2 linked regions of the Lytechinus pictus genome follow. The protein of the gene in region 2 purifies or fractionates together with the protein of the main gene of each other region. This does not show direct contact. Links are inferred from orthologs where the notes say so. Each region holds a gene or a part of one and is shown on either strand. Other genes may lie near its edges. The genes, in order: N-alpha-acetyltransferase 38, NatC auxiliary subunit-like; N-alpha-acetyltransferase 30-like.

Evidence for each region.
Region 1: the proteins of N-alpha-acetyltransferase 30-like (region 2) and N-alpha-acetyltransferase 38, NatC auxiliary subunit-like purify together in Homo sapiens (co-immunoprecipitation; 3 studies listed by BioGRID and IntAct, with this or other methods). This does not show direct contact. The link is inferred for Lytechinus pictus from reciprocal best matches to the Homo sapiens genes NAA30 and NAA38.

What each region holds. Positions count from the first base shown.
Region 1 is NC_087258.1:26,236,591-26,240,521, forward strand, and holds the start of N-alpha-acetyltransferase 38, NatC auxiliary subunit-like, read right to left. Parts: upstream 3,001-3,931; 5' UTR 2,894-3,000; exon of another isoform or gene 2,743-2,893; intron 1-2,742. Other genes in the region: peptidyl-prolyl cis-trans isomerase H-like, read left to right, coding at 3,141-3,206.
Region 2 is NC_087251.1:25,285,440-25,289,370, forward strand, and holds the start of N-alpha-acetyltransferase 30-like, read right to left. Parts: upstream 2,323-3,931; 5' UTR 2,226-2,322; intron 1,204-2,225; exon of another isoform or gene 948-1,203; intron 855-947; exon of another isoform or gene 629-854; intron 1-628. UniProt on the Homo sapiens protein: Catalytic subunit of the N-terminal acetyltransferase C (NatC) complex. Catalyzes acetylation of the N-terminal methionine residues of peptides beginning with Met-Leu-Ala and Met-Leu-Gly.

The sequences.
Region 1 (3,931 bases), on a different chromosome or scaffold from region 2:
TCGGACAGCGCTCTGCAGGCCACTTTCACCAAAAATGCAGCTCATTGTAGAGGATCAATGCGGCCGGAATGATGTTACAAAAAATATGCGAAGTATAGGAACGGATTTCTTTCTCTTTTTTTCAATATTATCACGAGGGTCTGAGCTCAGACCCTTGCGCATGCGATGTTTTGAAATCGGCAGCAAATTATTTATACGTGTGAGGAACTCGATGTTGGCTCTAAATCACCAATTTTGAGGCTAACCGGAGGATGGATATGGAGTGAAATTAGGATGAAAAGTAAGAAATTAAGCTTCTTATTCTTTTTAAGCTAGTTTCCGTATATAGGATTTTTACAATAATATGCATTTTTTCCCACCTTCACGACCTTTGCCACTCGGAGTATCAGAGCGAGTTTTGGACCTGGAGCCTCAAGTTGAGGTTCAGGTAGGTGGAGCGTAGTGTAGGCTGTAGCGGTAGTGAAGTGGAGTGGAGCCTGCACGAACATCACTTGAGCCCGGGGGGGCCACTTCCATTGACGAGTGGATACCATGCGCGACCAAGGGGTCTCGAAAAGCACCCTAAACACGTATTTTCCAAATTCTGAAAATGCACCCCTTAACAAGTATTGGCGTCTGAAACCCTACCCTTAACAAGTATTGGAAACAAAACGATACTCTTGGCAAGTATTCCCTGAAATGAACCCCTAAACAAGTACAGCGATATTTGATTGTTATGTCACGAGTCCATCGGTCGTCGGTTTTACCTTTACAGTTTACACACCATTTGGTTTAGTATGGCCCCAGCTTCCACACCTCGCGCAAATCGGACTCTAATTACTCTAAACACGTAGTGTTGGGGCAAAAAGGACATCCTTTATAAAACATTTTAATTTTGTTTATCATCCCCGCAAATTTGACCCTAAACACGTACTAGCTTTCCTAGCGAAATAGATACCCTTTTTTCATTATTTTTGTGTTTTTGACACCCTTATCACGTTACGTACGTAACGTGCCCTATCTTGAAAAAGACATCCTTTTTACGTGTTTTTTTGGTCGCGCATGGTATCCACTCGTCAATGTAAGTGGCCCCCCCGGGCACTTGAGGTAGGTTTCGTGAGGCACATCCCCATACATAAAAAAAAATTGAGATCAAGTGCCCCCACCAAGCTTATTTCCACTCCTGCTCCACATGCATGCTCTTAGTCTTAGTTTTTTATTTTATTTTATATTAACCTTATGATCACGCTTCCATGCCTTTGCATAATGCATGTTGTTCTCAATCTACACTAACTTTGTTTAGTATAATACAGGTACAGGGGGAAAGAGTTCCATATGCACCCCCCACCAAAAATAACAAGATTGTTGAGACTTCCGGTTCGTTCATCTCAGATTTTTCTATCATTTTTTTACTGTTGCTTACCTTAGTTGGGACTCTAACTCACCTCGTTTTATCTGCAGTCAAGACCACTCTAGGCGACACCCCAATACTTACCCGTGCTAATAAACTGGGACTCCACTCACGCGCATTTGGGCCGCCCTAGCTTAGAACTAAGCAATATTATCTAGAAATTAATAAACTCTAGTCATGAAATATGTTCTATTAAATAAATTGATAATGTTTAATCGGTACTCACCGGTTCTTTTGTTGCATTTTCAGACCATTTCTCACAAATTCTTTGTAAATATTTGCGGCAAATTTTGTCGCCATAGACAGCTATGCATCCATCTTTATTAATAAATGGAGCGCCCTTTACGATAGTTGTTAATGCCGCGGAGAAATCGTTAGGCATTTTGGCATGTGTTCAAGGCGTTCTTTCTGTTTTATTTTTTATATTGAAGATTGTGCATTTGTTGAATAGCGCCGTCTACGTCAGGTATGAGATCGAGTGTATAAATACACTCTTCCAAAATAATTATGATTCCGACCTGGCGCTGTTTAACTTCAATCTCTTTCACCTAAATTAGCGATGAATGCTAGCATTATAAAATATATATTATTAACGTCTGACAAAAAGAATAACCAACCGATCAGCTGACGAGAACGCGAATCACGTGATCTTCATATCAGCTTCGATCGCGAGTCAGAAGAGAAGAGCAACTGCCCAGAAAATCAGGAAAAAGCCGTGAAAATGTAAGTTCCCCTTCATTTCTTTCATTTTTTTGTTGTTGCTAACGATGCATTTACACTATAAAATTATAATTTAAATAAGAGAAAGGAATATAGCTTGTACTTGTGATATAATATATAAATATCCTGTTCTCAGAGATTTCTAACCAAAAATACTACTGATGTCGCCTATGAGGTCCATACATGTAATGTTTGGACCTCATTGGTACTAGGAGTGGTCAAGACCTCTTCCCGCTATGCTAGCGAGAAGCGCTGATACCGGAAGGGGTATTTTAATGATTATCAGCCGATAGCTCGACTAGTCTAGACTCACAGACCCTTTGGCTTTACTGACTAACTTAGTTAAATAAACTGATGTCTATGGACAATTACACGCACTAGATCCTGCTCGAAATTTGACGGAATAAAGCCATATTTTGGTGTGTATTTCCACTCCCCCATCATATATGTTCTAATCTATATTATGGCTAGATATATTATTCTGAACCTTCTCTATATTTTCATTTTCAATTTTAGTGGGGATGCACAGGGTTTGATGACCCACCGCATCACAGGCAAAACTTTACTTCGCCTCTTTAATTGCGACGCTATCCCGATTCGGGTATGCATTAACTTTGAGTATCTTATTATCCAAGACCAACTACAATATCATGATACGAATACCGGTAGTTGAATCTTATTCTTGGTAAAATCAAGCTTCTTTCATTACTTGCATATGAAAATGAGACCTAGGGCCTAAATAAAACTTAAGTTAGAATTCCAAGTTGTTTTTTTTTTACTTACCAGAGTCTAGATATCAGTAACTACTAACTTTGAGGTCCTTTGCGCTCATTTAGAGTGGTCTAACCAGCAGCTTCGTGATCACCGTACCCGCCTTCACCTTTGGTATACCGTACGCTCTCGACCTCGATACCGCGCGTGAGAGAGTGGCTAGTGCATGCAGTGGTGGTGTGCTAAAACCTTGCCCTTGGAAGTTGGAACACAATTTCATCACGTTTCTCTGGCTTAAGCTTGTCCTAAAAAGTTTGCAATGACGACGGGAGCTTCAAACCCAACCAACCCTATTGTTTTCTTTGACATAACAATAGGAGGGCAGGTAATTTTCTTATCATAATCATGTGCTCTCGGACCGTTAGTTACTCCGTGCCTGTGTGCTGTGGTCCCACGTGCTGATTTTTGTGAAGGCCCTGGGGCCCGTTTCTCAACACATGGACAAGTTAGTCATATACATGTATCGCCTTATCGGCATATCTTTATCCACCAACCACGGAGTTAGTTCCAATCTTACTAAACCTGTTTCTCGAAAGGCTTCCTAACTAGAATACCTTGATATCGATACTATCGGTAAAAAGAGCAGACGAGACGTAGCCTTAGTCACAAAATAGCATAATTTTCAAAAAGAAAAATTATAAATATGATATGACAAAATTGCAAATATTATGATGAATTGGGAAAAAAATCTTTTCAAAATAATAGCACAGGTGAATTATGCATCATACATACTTAGACCATGAAGACTGGAGCATTCAATTGCAGAGAAAATCAAATTATGAATAATTCATTTCATGACTAAAAAATCACTTGTGGACGTTGAGATGGGTACCCCCGGCCCGGCAGACCCAATTTTAATAGTTTACGAAAGTAAACCATAACGTTTTTTTTTGTAAAATGGTGATAATTATACGGACTTTTACGATTCCAAACGTCATCAAAATATAGTTTAACGAAACATTTTTAATCATTGATACCGAAAGATACGATATTGGACAAATTATATGCATAAATTAGAGATAGAAATTAGAATTCATCCAACTGTTAATA
Region 2 (3,931 bases):
CTGACATCATCAACGTGAAAAGCGACCTAAAATTACCTTTTGGTGTAAGTTTCTTTAGGATGAGTTCAGTATTCATGAAAATATTAGCAAAAGATCGGCAAATTTGTCACCGTTAGCGCCCGTTTTGAAGAAATCTGATATTCTCAACAAGCATCACGATAGTCGATATCACCATTTTGCAAGCAGAAATCATCAAAAATGTGAGTTAAATGTGGTACTAACCGATTCTAGACTATAGGCTATAGCATTTTGCCATCAATCTGATATAAATATTTCACTTTTTGAGCTTGAGTTTTTGTTTAAATGTCCACAAAAACTTAGGTCCGCGAAGTTAGGTCACACTTTTTCTGAACGCTTTTCCAGCACAGCGCGCATTCGCCGATCAGAATATTATTTTGAGATCTCGATACCGGCGAATCCCCTTGACCTACTTTACATTTTCGTCCATGATATTATAGTTTACGATCTTGCCGTCAATGTGGTAACTATTTCTTGAATTGGTTTTGTATAAACTATAAATTATGAATATTTTGTGAAAAATTTAAGCCTGATGAATATTTTTGAAAAGTGTGCGAAGTTTGGACACCCCATCATATAGGCTACAGTACACACCATCAATTTAACTCACACTTATCGCGATGACAACAGATATACAGTAGCCAGTGATTTGGCTCATGTGCCATTCCCTTACATATATCAAGGAATCGTGATACCCCTATTCAACTTGTATACTTAGGAAGTTGAACGAACTGGCAATAGAAACGGCCTATCGATCTGTTGAGCGAGACCTCTCTGTGCAGCTGTGTGTCGCGACTTCATCAATCTTGATTGGGATTCCTCACACTCATTCTTTACTCACATAGATCCACAATTTACTTTGATTAACACTGACTCAGGTCTCAAACGACAGCAACATCACGTATCAGAAAGAAAAACGCAAAACAAACCTGTAAACTCACCAGAAAACATGAAGAAATCAAACATCAGTTTGCACCTAAAAATTGATCCCCTAGCTCGCGCTGCCGTCATATCATATACATTTTGCAGCTCAAAGAAGCTCAAGCCTGGGATGGAGTACCGTATATACCACGTACATGACATACGGTATACCGTACGTGTTATCATACCGGGTAAATGCTCTGCGCTGATAATGTTGCAAGAAAATTCAAGCATCAGTCGGGGCATCAGTCAAAAATCAAGGCGATGTGGGGGGGGGGGGGGGTGGTAGTGATAATGATTATGATGATGATGAACAGCAGTAGCGTACACAGGGGGGGGGGGGGATACAGGTGTTCAAACCCCCTTTAACTTTTTTGATACTCAAAACCCCTCCCTCATATATATTTTTTTAAACTTTTCATTCAGCTTGAACTATCCCCTTTCAAAAATCCTGGGGGCCGATTGCACGAAAAGGTCTTTGCAAGGACCGTCTTTCGTGTCGCCCATTTTTTATGATGCGCCATGTGAAACGCATTTCAAATAAATTATCTGCAAACATATTTTATTCGTCCGTTAAAATAAACAAAATATTTGTTTATAAAATGATGTGATATCTCACAAAATTGTATAAAATTTGATTTAAAAGCAAGCTTACGAATTGTATTTGTTTATCATAAATTTCAGAAACACCCCGCTAATAGCGCATCATAAAAGATGGGCGACACGAAAGACGGTCCTTGGAAAGACCCTTTCGGGCAATCGGCCCCTGCGTACGCTACTGATGAACATCATTGTATAGCGCCATTTATCTGTAAAAATATTCAAAGGAGGCAGTGGACCGATTACCTCCAAAATGTTCCCAATCAAAGGAGTAGCTATAGGGTGCAAAAGATGGAAAGGGTGATGTGAAGGTCAGGGTTGGGCTAAATTACTTTCTTCAATTACAATTGCAATTGCACTTACGTAATTGAAGAAATGTTCAATTACAATTACCTTTCAATTAAATTACAATTTTTTTCAATTACAATTACTAATTACTTTTGTCAATTACAATTACAATTAATTACTTGAAAGTCATAAATCAGATCAATTAATATTTTGTATGTATAGCGCAAGGTATAGCGCCACCCACTTTGTGCAGTTCTTTAAGCTCTTTTCTCCCTATCATGGAAAATGATACAATTTCATGAAGAGAGCACTAGTAGCTAATTAAGGGAATAAAGCAATCCAGAGTAAATTGAATAATAAATTAAGTAATAAAGTAATGTAATTGAATGTCACCTTACCTGTTACCTATAGTCCAGATGCCTATAGTGGCACATAGGGCCCGGGCCACCGAACGTCTCCACCATTGCCTATCAGAGGCCACAGCTCTGGCTTCTGTCCATGTCCTCCATCCAGCCAGGGTCCTTTTTTCTTTTTTTTTATTGAATGTAATCAAAAGTAATTGAATGTAATATAAGTCAATTACAATTTCTCAAATTCAATTACAATTACTTCCCCTTTTAGCATCCCTAAATTAGACCCCAAAAGAGCCAATCTGGAATAAAATTATTGGAAATGGTTTTTTGACTGATTTGAGTAGGTATGGGTGTCAACATTTACCAAAAAAAAGTTAGGAGGAATACGGGTTGGGGAAAGTGCTTTTTTTCAAGGTCAAAGGTCAATGACCTTTTCGTACATACTGTATAATGGTATCTCTGAGATGGAAAGGCGCAGGTTGGTGATCATGGTGTCAAAATGCACAGATTCTTACCAGAAGATCAAATGGAATAAAATTAAGTACCTAGAATGCACATTCACGCATAAAATTTAAGGCCAAAGGTCAATGACCTTTTATACTACATATACCATATTATATAATTGTATCTCTAAGATAAAACGGTGCAGATTGGTGTTCTTGGTGTCAAAACACGCATATTCTTACAGGAAGATAAAATAAAATTAAGCATCGAGAATGCACATTCACCCATAAAATTCAACGACAAAGGTCAATGTCCTTTTTAGATAATAATAATGGTATCTCTGAGATAAAACACCGCAGGTTGGTGATCTTGGTGCCAAAATCCAAAGACTTGTACAAGAAGATTAAACAACACTAAAATAAGTATAAAGAATAAACTTTCACCCTTTAAATCCTAGATCAGAGGAAATATATAATCTATATGATATAAAAATAACCAAAAACAATATATTTTGTGTTCATATTTTATATCTAAATAATGTAAATAACCATGGCTTATTTGTAATGAAAACATGGAGGTTTCATAATTTCGGTCTGAAATAATGACGGCCATGGAGAATGTATTTAGGGGTCAGAGGTCAATGAGCCCTTTCCAAAATACCAGTGGAAATTAAGTTAAAAAAGTTGATAACCAAATAACACTTTTTCATATACTGCGATGCATTGCCAAAAGCACTGAAAAAATAAATGAAATCAAGTATATAATTTGAAATGATTTTTATCTTAAGTAGCAGCATTTAATGCATCATTATATCTAAATCAAGGTTGTCGTGTCTTTTCTCTCCAGCGATAGGCCACTCACCTCAATGTTATAATAAATACTATAAACTATTAGCTTAATCTTCTGAAAATGGATAGGACAGGTCTAACTCTCATGTCACAGCTAGCATCATCTGAGAGCATTTCCAAACAGCAGAGGGATGATGATGAGGATGAAATGAAGGCCATCATTAGAGCTGCAGCTTCTGTCATATACATGTAGTAAATTATATATATATCAACTTCAACAAAGGTGAATACCCGTATTATTAGTACCTTTCATCAGTTCATTGCGAGCTGCCAGAATATCTTGTGATGCTAATGCTGCAAGACAAAACTTCATATCTGCTCTCTGCCGTACGTCACCCATGATGCTATTTCTACTAGGTATCAGTTTGTACAAGGATCATGTTTTTGGTCCAGAACAACTGATTGTTATCATGCACAAATTAGGCATATAACAATGAAATTCAAAAGGAGATAATAGCT